Linked DNA regions of Nothobranchius furzeri. The protein of the gene in region 1 binds, or shares a complex with, the protein of each later gene. Links are inferred from orthologs where the notes say so. Each region holds a gene or a part of one and is shown on either strand. Other genes may lie near its edges. The genes, in order: paxip1 and h2ax.

Region 1 (6,905 bases):
ATATACACATATATATATACATATATATATATATATATATATATATATATATATATATATATATATATATATATATATATATATACATATACATATATATATCCATGCCCTGATGTGGGGGCTGGGGGGTGCGTCGACATGGTCGGGACATAGGAGGGGGTGCGCGGCTAAATAAGTTTGGGAACCACTGGCCTAAATCAATAAACTGGACAAATAAAACGCAGGGTAGCCTGAAATGATGGCACTACTGTACTCACTGTCTTGTCCCGGCTCGTGCCCAAACAGCTGGGAGATGTGGGGCGGCTGCTGGAGCTGAGGGGGCAGTGCTGTCGTCTGCTGTTGGTGAGGGACTACCTGCTGATTCTGATGCTGCAGAACCTGCTTCTGCATCTGCTGCTGTTGCAGGAAATGTTGCTGCTGCTGCTGCTGCTGCTGCTGCTGAAGATGCTGTTGATGCAGTTGCTGCTGATTCTGTTGCTGTAACATGTGCATGCGCTGCTGCTGGTACTGCTGAAGCTGCTGCAACTGCTGGAGACCTGGTCGTAGCAGCTGCTGTGGGCGCAGCTGCTGAGAGAACATCTGGTGTTGATGCATTTGCTGCTGTTGCTGCTGCTGCTGCTGAAGAAACTGTTGTTGCTGTTGAGGCAACTGTGGGAAACCCTGTTGCGCAACCTGTGGCTGTTGCTGCTGAAGCTGCATCATATCGTGCTGCTGCAGGTGCATCATGGGATGCTGTGGTACCTGCTGATGCTGTTGGGCAGGTTGGTGTGGCTGCTGCATGAGCTGATGCTGCCTCTCCGTTGTGAGGGTCTGTGCAGCCACTTTGGTCTGGTTGAACAGAGGGTTGTTACTGTTAGGGGTCTGAGCATGGTTTGGGTTCATCTGCTCCAAAGGCTTTGTCTGACTACTGGTCAGGTTCGGCATTATCTGGAAAAAGTGAGGAAGAACACACGTTTAGCTAAAGAAAGACTACAATCTTCTGTGGAAGGTTAAAGGACTTTACTACCCTGACCGGTAACTGTGTGCAGTTTCTGCTCCCGTAACTTTACGGAGGAACGTGTAATAAAGGACATCTGAGTTGAAGAATTGCTTTATCTATGTTCACAACCTGAAAAACAGCTGATAGGATGTAAGAAATGAGAAATAACTAACATGGATGTCTTATTTTAAATCTGACCATTAAAAATCTGCTTCTTCTGACTTCTAACTTTGATGTCTTAAAGCGACACTAGAGACTTGTAACGCTTTAGGCTGTTGCTTTTAATCTGGTTTCGATGATTCTGAAACCAGAAACTTGACCAACTTCACATGGAACAGCAGTCTGTAGCCCTCTGCTGCTAACAGATTTGTAGTTCTAGCTGTTTACTGTGCTGGTAGCTGATACAAAGCTATTAGCTATTTTTAATTGGCATTATGGTGGAGCCTGGAAGTAAAAATAAGAAAATCGGAGTGAACATCTGCGCAGAATCGTTTATGTCCGCATCGCAATGCATCGATTATTTGATTATTTTCCTCAGCTCTAGACAAAATCACACAAACGGATCAGTGAACAGTAATCCCTCGTTTATCGCGGTAGATGCGTTCCAGACCTGGCCGCGATAGGTGAAAATCTGCGAAGTAGGGACTCCCAGCATGCCCCTCGCAGGGATTCCCTCCACGTCGCACCTACGTCACAAACCGCGGCTATAAACGGAAGTCGCCTTTCCAGCTCACCACTCAGTCATCGTTTCTTCAGATTCATGATCAGAGTTTCCAACCTACCGATCAATCCAACGAACTATCAGCTCATAGTAAGTTATCGTACTTACTTCTGGAAAGCCCGGCATTTCCGTGTCACTTCGTTGACGCTCGAACGCTCGGGGGCTTCCTAGATCAGCCGGCGTTTCACCGACGCTATCACTTCCGCGTCTGTGAAACCACGCTCCCTACAAGCTCAGCTCCCGAATCCAGCCGCCCTGTCTGACATACAGTACTATATTGAATTATCGTATGATCACATTCTCTTTTTGTGGGTAAAACTCAAGAAAAAAATTTTTTTTACTTGTTTTTTTTAGTTTTATTACAAAAAGTGCATTTTATGATGAAATTGATGAAAAAAAAAAACAAGAATTTCTTGATATTTCGCATAGAAAAATACCGCGAATCAGTGAAAAATACCGCGAATCTGCGAATTCCCCCTGAAAAATGCTCCAAAGAAAAAATCCGCGAAGCAGCGAATCCGCGATGAACGAACCGCGAAGTAGCGAGGGATTACTGAACAGCGTAAGGTAACCTGTGTGCCCCACAGAAACACAACTCAGTTGAAAAATGGTGGTGTTGCTGGACATTTTGCTCAGTTTTATGGATTTTTGTCAGACTCTGAACCAGGAAATGGCTGCAGGCAGTGAAACACAAAACTCCGGGGCAACCAGTGACTCCGCCCCCTAGCCAATCAGTGACCAGAATCACAAGCCGGCCCGACTCAGCCTTGCCAGGTACGTCAATGGCGTAGGGACTAAAAGTAGAGGAGAAAGTAGAGGGAAAGTACCGAATCGTGCCCTTGAGAACAGTGGACAGGCCGACCCGCATCGGTCTGAGTTACTCTGAGTAGTGCTCCTGGAAAAACACCTTTAGTTGTGAACGGGGTTCGCAAAACTAAGGCCTGGTTTATGCTTCTCCGTCAGCTCCGCGAGGGACAGACACGCATGGACTGATGGAAGCATTTTGCTCTTTTACTTCTCCGTCTCCTGGAGAGTGTTGCAAAGCAATTGCCCGGCAGGACAACAGAGGGCGTAGCACTGTTCTGTGGTATCCTGTCACGTATCGGTCCAAGATCGTGTGTTTATATTGTGTTTTTTGTGTATATAAGAGACTTTTAACACGGACATATTTGTCTCTCATTCTTCCACCGCTTCATGCGCTCCCCACCTCTAAACCCACGTTTCCTGTCATTTCCGTCCACAAATAAAACGCTTGCTGCGCATCTTTTCACTCCTCCAGTCACGGGAGGATGAAACGTTCATATTTTTAGAGTTTTTTCGCGAGGTATTCTTCAAGCTTCTCCGTGTCTGCCGCTAGTTATCCTCGGCTCTCTTTGCAATGGTGGCGCTGTAAACAACAGCGGCGTCCTGACCAATCACAAGCTTGCATAATCTGTCTCGTTCAATCAATCAATCAATCAATCAATCAAAGCTTTATTTATAAAGCGCCTTCCACAACCCTGTCAGGAAGCCCAAAGCGCTGATGTTCGACGGATGTTTAAAAAAGTGGGCTCGACTCCGTACGTACTTGCGTGCCTGCCGGAGCCCTACTCAAGGACGGATAATGGCGTTGCGTGTCTCCGCACTGACGCAGACGGAGAATCATGAATCAGGTCTTTGATTTATCCTGTGATGCTTCCGGCTCAGGGTGGTCAGCCGAACCCACTCCAACACAGGGCTGAGACACTTCTGCATTGTGTGGGTCATTGTGAGCAAATGACCTAATGAACACAGCATCTCCAGAGAAATACCTTAAGTTGGTCAAACACAAACAATGTGTGAAAATAAGAGCACAGCAGCACATGTGTGACGGGAAGGTGACATCTTACGTGTGCTACAGCAGGTCGGCCGGCTGGCTGCATGTCGGAGCTGTTGGTTATGTTACGAAGGGTTCGAATAGTTTGATTCCATCCAGGGATGCCATCTGTAACGGACACACCTAAAACAGGCAGGGGGAATCTTTATCAGCAGGTTGGCATGTGAGGAGCTAATTCCAAGGCTGAAGTCCTCGTTATGGCTCACTCAGCAGAGTACGGAAGTGGTTGTCATACATATGGGCCATGAATACCATGTTATACCTTTATTTATATATGAATAGATACAACCAGAATCTAAAAGAATTCAAGATGCTGGAACATAAAGAATTACTGTGTAAAAACCCTATGCTGCCAAACTGCACCTCTGTTGCGCACACACGCGCGCACGCACACGCGCACGCACGCACGCGCGCACACACACACACACACACGCACGCGCGCGCGCACGCACGCACGCACGCACTCACGCGCGCACACACACACACACGCACACACACACACACCTTAGCTTAAGTGTTTTCCAAACGCCAGTCCTGCGTATCCACAGACACTCACAGTCTAACAAACCTAAGCCCTGTGAAAGTGACGGTGACAGAAGGCTGGAGTGGTTCTTACTGACCTTGTGAGGAGTGACTGATGGCGGCAGCAGCAGAGCGCGCCTCTGCCGGCATGGCACCACCGCCACCTGGAACAGGCGTCCCTGTAGCACACAGGTTTATCAGCCCACTGCCTGTGCAGGACACCGGATCCTTGCTGCCAGGAGGCCCGCCTCGCCGTCTGGCCATGCCAGTGGGAACAGTTGGAGTGACCACTTCGGCTGGGGTCCAGTTCAAGTTGGTACCCTCCTTCTCTGTGGAGGACTCATCATCAGAGTCATCAAACATTCGCTCTAGGCGCTCTGGTTTTCGGGGGGACGTTGGTGAGATAGAGTTAAGTCGTTTGGGTCCAGGTCTTCTGCGAGGACTAGACTCCTCGCCTGAAGAGCCCCCGCTGGACGCTCTAGATCGCCGAGGGCTGTAGCTTCCATTTGACTGTGAGTGTAAGTCGTAGGACTCTGCCTCGCTCTCCTCCTCTTCCTCAGGCTCCACGTAGGTGAGTCTGGGGTGATAAAGGGTCTCATCTTTCTTAGTTTTATCTGTGAAGAAAATACATGACATAAAAATTAGCTAGCCTGTAAATAAATAGTTTATAAATAAGGTAGAAATAGATAAGTTCCTCATGCAGATAAATAACGACTCCTCTCTGAGCGACACGTTGCTACTGCACCGCTGGACAGGACTAAACAATTATTATGCAACATTTCGTGAACTTCACTAAAACATATATGTTTGTGTTTGTATTTATATTATAAATGCACTGTAATGAGTTAGTCAATACTTGCAAGATACTGGTTGGGCGTGTACTGGGTAAGTTAAACCTCGGCCCGTTGCGTCATAAACTATGAGCAAGTATACTGGCTCTTTCATACTGGGAATTAGGAGTTTTATTTGTGATTATCTTGTTTCTTTTTCTTACTTATTTTTGTCCTGATTGTGCCCTGAGCATTTTAGACTGAATATATAAATTAACAAACAAACAAATAAATAAAATCAACATTAATTTAAAAATTGTCTTAAAGAATCGAGATCTCAATTTCTGTCAAAATATTCGTGATCATCATCATAATCGAGCAGCCACACCAGTCCACCATGAAAACCTCCGGGAACCAAAGATTCTAACGTGAGTCCATCTGACTAACAAATGAGGCTTGGACCGAACCGGGTCATAAAACAGAACCATGATCCAAACACAGCAGATCTACAGAAAAACGTCTTGCAAATAAGGCCTAGTCCACACGTAGCCGGGTTTTTTAAAAACGAATATCCGCCCCTCCAAAAACTTGCATCCACACCACCTCGTTAAAAAAAAAAAAACTGTCCACACGTACCCGGATAAATACGTTGTTAAAGACATGCCAGACCTGTAGGCGGCAGTACTTCCCCCGTTCCTAACCTCGTCCTTCGTCTGTGGTCTTCCGTAAGGAGCAGTAATCCCGCTTGCAAAAACAAACAAGCAAAAAGCGCTTGGACAATTGATAAAGCGAGCGCAGCTCTGAGGGCATCCATGCTGTCGGCTAGTGTAAACACAGGTCGCACACGTGATGTCAGCATTTTTTTGTCGCGGAAAGTGACGTTGCGGACCTTAAAACTCCGGTTTTGTCCGTCCACACGCAGACACCCAAAACGGAGAAAACGCAGATCTTCACTTTGGCCGGAGTTTTTAAAAAGATCCGTTTTCGTGTGAAAAAACTCAGTTTTGGTGTGGATGACAGGCCAAAACGTAGAAAAATATCTACGTTTTGGCAGATCCCCGGCTACGTGTGGACAGGGCCTAAAAGAATCAAGGTTCTGCAATGATCCAGTGAATGTCTGGACCAGAACCTGTCGACGACGGGATGCTAACAGAGTCAGGACCAGAACAGCTCCAGAGCCACACGAAAGAAAATCGATAATACTCAAGAGTTTCTGCTGCTATTTGACCGCCAAATGGACTGGGTTTTTCTCTAGCAGTTTTTCTTACGTTGTGCCTGTTTAATAATTACTGATTGTTGGGTGTTTTTCTACACTTGAGGTTTGACCAGAACCGTTTAGAGCCAGATGAAGACCACATCAGTCCTGTTAATAAAACTCTGGACCTAAAAGAGGGTGGAGTTTGTCTAAACACACAAATAAAAATCACAATAATCACGATTCCTTCTCAGTATTATTGTCTTTGCCATAAAAGTGACGTACCTTTAACAGAGTCTGTGATCCAATCTGGGGTAACTATTTTGATGCCCGAGTGTTTCAGGGCACACTCAAACTTCGCCTGAAAGCACAACAACAAAGACCATCAGAAATGAGAAAATCACATTAAAGAGAGGAGCTGAAAGTTTTTAAAAGTCCACAGTTTTTAATCAGAGGGCGCCATCTGGAGACAGAAAAATGTATAGCAACTCACAACTCAACTAATGGGCCGTTCCCATCTGTACCGGGTCGGCCCGGGCCGGGTAGCGTAGGTTGTTTACATATCTGGGTGGCCTGGTATTTTTCCGGGCCAACCAAGGCTCATTCTCAGCCCTCTTCTCGAGGGGGTCTGCTTCAGGCCGACCAGGACCAACACGCCCACTGCTGACAGCAAATTCACACCTTCCATTAGAGCAAGCCTCTGATTGGTGGGTAGAATCAGCCCACATGGGCTTAAGACAAGGATGTGTGGAATCAACCGGGCCAGGCTGGGGCCGACTGGGGCTACCCGGCCCGGGCCGACCCGGTACAGATGGGAATGGCCCATTACATTAGTGATTACGGCCCAAAGTAACGCATATATA
Region 2 (6,321 bases), on another chromosome or scaffold:
CTGGATCCCGTCGCGGAGACGGCCATTCGGCAGCTGACAGAGTCGGCGTCCAAAACAGCAAGGAAGACCCCAACAAAACGGAGCACACTAATCATATCCGGAGTGTCAAAGGTCAGAGGACGCTGTTCCTTCCAGAATTACACATGAAACATCTCTACCTTTTAGCGATGAGCCGTTATGATTCTTTGTAGCCCTTTGAGATGTTGGAAGTGAAGTCTGATAAGGATATAAAATACTCACATGGACGCAGGCGAGAGGAGTGTGATCTAAATTTAGTCTCGCATCACAGCGCCCTACTACACTAGTAGAACGAGTCTACTGACCTGATTGTTGGAAGAAAATTTGTAGAAACCCCGTGTGTGTCTGTGTGTGTGTGTGTGAAGTTGGTGCCCTTGACACAGAAGCCACTGGAAGCGTCTGCTTTTATTAGTAAAACTAAAGAAACTGATTATCATGAGAGCAGACCTTAAACAAGCTTCCTGTCTTCATACATAATAAATGATTTGATGTTTGTTGCATATCAGGTTCCACTCACTGAGGATCACTGTGCGTTGTCAAGCGGCTACGCAGCATCCATGGATGCAGCCATGCACGGCAACCATTACAGGGGAGGTCATCACCAGGACCCGGATGAAACCACTCCCTCTGAGGTGTCGGAGCGTCCGTCTGTGGACGATGTAGAGTCTGATACTGGTTCTGCTGGTGCCTTGGAAACCCGCAGCCTGAAGGATCATAAAGGTAATAATGTTTGCTCATTGTTGACATAGAGCAGGAATTAAAAACTCCATGCAGATGTTTGCTAAATGTATTAATTTAAATAGATTTATTTTGCATATTGTTTTTTGTCAATAAAGCATAATTTCAAAGTGTCACTACAAACTGAACAGCGTTACATAACTTCTAAGGATCACTGTGCTGATGCTGCCCCCTGGTGGTTTTCACAATGATTGCTTTACATTGGATAAATGGTGATGTCATATAATCAGTAGATAAAGTGATGTACCTGCTTTCTGCAGTGGGCTTTCTCCAGAGCGGCTCGAAGCTTTTGTTTCGTAGAAAGCATCGAGAGAAGGAGCCTTGCCTCAGCCAGTCCCACGAGGACATCTCCAACATTGGCAACAACTTCGCTGCTCCAGCTGCAAGCAGCATCCGTAAAAAGTCTGGCAGCTTCTCGCGGCGTCTCATCAAACGCTTCTCCTTACGCTCGTCTGGCAAGTCAAAAGGCAAAGCTGCTTCTACGAACGGAGGAGCAAGTTCAGTGGAGAACTGATCGATATCACGAAGGTCGTTGTAGCTCAAAAGGAGCTGCTGGAATCGCTGAACACACACTGTGGGCTGTCACCCACACTTCTAAGGATGCCGCTGGGAGGGATCCTGTCTAGAAACAAGGAATTGCACCTTCAACACAGAAGTCCTGTGACAGCAATGCTGGATCTCAAATGTGATGATGAACTCTTTTTGTTTGTTTGAGGAGACAAAATCGTGCTGCTTGGTGAGAAGGAAGTCACTACGATGAAACACTCCTAACACACACTAGAGGGTTTGATCAGAATCGGTGGTGGATATACTCAGACTAATGATGTAAATGCACTTTGGACTGATGCTTTATTTGTTTTTTTACAGCACATGTAAAATTTTGTTGGGTGTAAAATGATAATTTATTATTCTGTGTGATTTATAAACCATATTATTTATTTCATCAACCCAAAACAAGTCATCCTCGCTGCATTGCACTGTAAAATAGTGACGTTGGCATTCTTTTCTATGCAAATTTAATTTTGAAGACCTTTAAGTAAGTTAATATAACTTTCTCTGTTAAAATGTGTTGTTTATTTGTGATTACTTAAAAATTACTTTTAAAATTCATGTTTAATCGCATAAAAAGCAGAGAAGATGGTGTATTTATCGTAATTTTGTGTGATAATTATTTTCTGTGGAATATCATAACTATGGTTTGATTTTGATAGTTCAGTCAGCAGGCATCTCGTGCTGGGCAATAAGCTTAATCTGTAAAAAATAAAAAATAAAAATAAAGAAAGACTATCAACTTTAAAAATAAACATGTCGGTAAACGATTTACAATGATCAGGTATAGCTGAGTTGCAGCAGCTCAGTGCTTCACTAAGAAAACATATTTTACAACAAACAGTCACACATTTGATTAATTTATATTACACAAACAGCAAAATGTTGTATTTAGGAGAATTATTGTCATAAACATATTTAATTCAATCCACTTGGACTGTCAGGGTTCAGCTCAGGCAATTAGAACCAAGTTTAAGAGTTTTTTATACGTGGAACTGCTCTCAGGGCTGGAAAAAAAATATTAACAACTAGACACACAAAATGATAATTGCTGCAGCAATCAGAACCAATTGTAAAACTGTACATATGATTTTTTTTCTCTTATAAAAACCTCATTTGAAATAACTGCAATAATTTTGGGACCTCATAACAACCAAAATCAATTATTCAATTACTGTGTTTTTAAATAAATATTTAATCTGATTAAATATTATCAAATGGACATGCCAAACATTAAGCCAGTACTGTATGGACAATACTGTCAAACTAATTAAAAATGCAGAACAGATCAAAACCACTCTCCTGCCTGAAAGCACACATACATATACATGTAGTGATATGTGAATGTAATTTGAAAAAGTGGCTGTAAAATTCAAGATGTGAGGCCCCAGTTATATTTTGAAAATGTAATTTATTGCAAATAAATTATTTTTCAACCCTAATGTTGATTGTGCACTTAGTTAATATGGTCTTGTTTTTGTAAAAGGTATATATTTTTACCAGTAAAATGGTTATTTGCTGAGCTGCCTAGGATTAGCTTCGTCTCAGTGGGGGAGGATGGTGGAATTTTCCATGTCTTGCTGGCCCTCCCTCACACAGTTTGTGCAGTGTAAGCTTACTTCAAGCACATTTTGCGCATTTTAATAAATTGTCCTCATGTATAATTGTGATACATGTGTCACCACATTTCGATCTTGGTCAAAAACCCTGACAACATTATTCAATACTTTACTGTATCAATACTCATTAAATCGCTTGAAATGTTCACTTTTCGTTCGGTAACGCGCCAAAACGTTTAAAGCTGGAGGGAAGACCGTCTATTGGTCTTCCTTCTGACACGTGACCCGCGTGAAACTGGGTGAACAAATAAACAACCAATTACCTTTGTCTATTGGTCAGACTCCTCGATGATTGGTGTAGAGCCAGAGCAGCCAAACCAATAGTTACTGGCTTCCTGGAACGTTTGATCTCCTAAAGCCAAACAAATGAGAGCTTCTCTCTCTAGCATCCAATAGTAGTTTGGGGCGGGACTAACGTGGAGGCTTATATATGGCTCGGCGAGCCTTTTTTCTTTCTACTTTGCGATTTTCTGCATTGAAATCATATTCGTGGAAGAGATCTTCAACAATGTCTGGAAGAGGTAAAACCGGTGCTAAGGCCCGCGCCAAGGCGAAGACCCGCAGCTCCCGCGCCGGTCTGCAGTTCCCTGTGGGCCGTGTTCACCGTCTCCTCCGCAAGGGAAACTATGCTGAGAGAGTGGGCGCCGGAGCTCCTGTTTACCTGGCTGCGGTCCTCGAGTATCTCACCGCCGAGATCCTGGAGCTGGCTGGCAACGCCGCTCGGGACAACAAGAAGACCCGAATCATTCCTCGCCACCTTCAGCTGGCTGTCCGTAACGACGAGGAGCTGAACAAACTGCTCGGTGGCGTGACCATCGCTCAGGGAGGCGTGTTGCCTAACATCCAGGCCGTCCTCCTGCCCAAGAAGGCCGGCCAGGCAGCACCCAGCTCCGGCAAGGCGGGAAAGAAGGCGTCCTCTCAGTCTCAGGAGTATTAGCTTCACGGCTAACCACAATGAACCCAAAGGCCCTTTTAAGGGCCAACCACCGACCGAAAGGGCAACTTTTCTAGTTTATCAATGTCGCTCAAAGCATATTTTGTTTGGGTTATTGAAGGCTTGTGTTAAGGTAATTTCTTTCAGGCTAGATCCTTTGCTAAGAAACAAGATTAGGCTAAATTTCCCCAGTTAGCCTGAAATGTCACTTGAAAATCTTCATCCTGAGTTTATTTTTCATCCTTGAATGTTATTTAAAGTAGCAACTCTTCTGCAACTGACCAGATCCAATGCTAGCTGCACACACTGGCAACTAAACATTTGTTATGCATTGCACTCAGGTTCTCAGGGCTGCTGTATGTTTTCATCATGTGAAACGCCTGTTCACAACAAAACGGTTTCATTAAAAGTTCTGCAAGACAACATCTGTCACCTGGAAACGTGTTTGTGTGGTGGTGAAGTCTCAAATGAAATGTACTAACGGCTGTCTATTCAAGCAGCTCCAGGTGTTTCCTTATTGCACATGGAGAAAAACACGCGAGCAGATAGTGTTAACATTCATGGCTTCCTCTGTGGTTTCTTTTACACGTTTTTCAGTTCTTGTCCCTGTACCACTGACTCAACTTACTGGACTGAGGGGTGATGAGCAGTCCGATAAAAACTAACTTCAGAATCCCTGCAGAAAAAATAATAGTACTTGCAAAGTAGTAAATTGCCTGTATTTGTATAGCCCTTTTACCCCAACCCCCCCCACACACACACACACACACACACACACAGTCATTCACCCATGCACGCACATTCACGCTGGTGGTGATGGAGATCCGGTGTAGCTACAGCTGCCCTAGGGAACACTGGCAGAGGCGAGGCCTGTTGTACACTGGTTCCTCCGACCACCACCAGACAAGGTGGGTTAGTCGTCTTGCCCGTGGACACAACAGCAGCATTCTCTGACAGCAAGGGTCAAACCTACAACCTTCTGATTACTGGACATCCCACTCTACCTCCTGAGCTGCTGCTGCGTGTCCAAATCATCACTTTCAAACATTAAAAGAAAAATCTGGAAGCTGTGTATGAAGACATGAGGAGTGTTATGTTTGCTGAGGTGAAGGTGGGGATGTTGTTCACTGGTTTTACCACCAGAGGTTGACTGCTTCCTGTGAGATCTGCACGTGCTTCATTCTTCCCCATGTCTTCTTCCATACTCTTACTCCACATGAAAAGTCTACGACAGATGTGTGAAAGCTTCATCGTGTCCACACAGCACATCTGACAGCAATAGTTTATACGTAGGTGTCCCAACAGATGTGGTTAATTCAGTTTACCTGAATTCATGCACCTTTCAGCCGGAGGGTCTGGTCCAGATTTCATTTTTGGTGATGGTGTTTGACGATGAATGACAGCAAAATCTGAGACATTTCCATTTGCTTTGGCTGTTTTATTGATGGCAAAAGCAGCAAACTGAACCAATTACCCGGGCCTTGACAACGTGTCCAACACCAACATCCGGCCTCAGAAAGCCAGATGGTTAACCCAGACCTTAAATTCACCGCTCTGCCTGCTTTCAGCTGTTTGTGGCTAAAGGGTTCATGTGGAAGCAGCATCCAGGACAAACCAAATTTAGTCAAACTTACATTCTGTAAAATGTGCTTCTGGGGAAATCTAGAGATCTAGTGTTTTTTAGTGATAAACACAGCTGTGTTTCGACTTAAACGGGGAAAGGAATGAAAAGTGGGAAGAGAAGGAGGAAAAAAGCTGTGGAGAGGGTTGGACCTGGCAGGGCGATGCACCAACACATTCACTTTGAAAGCAACTCTGCAGGCGTGCAGAGGGAACGTTACGATTCCATCCCGGAGACAACCGGGGGAATTTTCTCATGAAGTTTTGGGAGCGTGCCTTGCCTTGTGTTTTTAATTTTGGAGGGAATCCATCCATGGAAAAGAAAATGTTCTTTGCCAGCTTTGGTAATTAGAAACAGAGCATTTGTGTGTGCTGTGGAGAGATACAACAGAAACATTGTTTATGCAGATCTAACATGACCCAGTTCTGATTTTCTCCCAGCGGACTTACTTTGATACGGGAGCAGGTGGAAGTCACCTGGTCAGATTTGTGAAGGATGCTTTTCTTTTTGCGTGAGAGCGATGGCTGCCTGTGGAGCTTAGGCGTCTAGCAATGTGATTTGGTGTTTGCCTGGAGGGAGTGTGAGTTGCGCATGAACCAGGGTGAGTGTGTTTTTAACTTTCTAAAGAAGAGAAACACATTCTTGTGTTACCTGTGGCTAGATGTGACAGAGGGATGAGTGGGCTCAATGGAAGATGCTGAATCTTTTCATCTTTGAGTTATTCGGAAATCAGTTACTATCTTCTGGGCTTCTCTGCTTAGGCTACTGCCCCCGCAACCCCACTCCGGACAAGCAGCTGAAAACGGATGGATGGATGCTACTATCCTTTCTCCTACTAAAAG

Evidence for each region.
Region 2: the proteins of paxip1 (region 1) and h2ax are in contact, whole or in part, in a crystal structure (PDB 3SQD), measured with the Homo sapiens proteins. The link is inferred for Nothobranchius furzeri from reciprocal best matches to the Homo sapiens genes PAXIP1 and H2AX. Residues at the interface, in NP_031375.3 of Homo sapiens: Phe871, Thr872, Gly873, Phe874, Pro876, Lys907, Thr909, Arg910, Thr911, Val912, Lys913, Pro986, Glu1050, Leu1053; in NP_002096.1 of Homo sapiens: Gln138, Ser140, Gln141, Glu142, Tyr143.

Annotation. Positions count from the first base shown.
Region 1 is NC_091751.1:66,110,898-66,117,802, reverse strand, and holds part of paxip1 (PAX-interacting protein 1), read right to left. Parts: intron 6,404-6,905; coding exon 6,328-6,403; intron 4,692-6,327; coding exon 4,176-4,691; intron 3,679-4,175; coding exon 3,569-3,678; intron 928-3,568; coding exon 258-927; intron 1-257.
Region 2 is NC_091750.1:47,425,641-47,431,961, forward strand, and holds h2ax (histone H2AX), read left to right. Parts: upstream 1-3,331; 5' UTR 3,332-3,354; coding exon 3,355-3,861; 3' UTR 3,862-4,283; downstream 4,284-6,321. Other genes in the region: phospholipid transfer protein C2CD2L, read left to right, coding at 1-111, 525-738, 1,017-1,270. UniProt on the Homo sapiens protein: Variant histone H2A which replaces conventional H2A in a subset of nucleosomes. Nucleosomes wrap and compact DNA into chromatin, limiting DNA accessibility to the cellular machineries which require DNA as a template.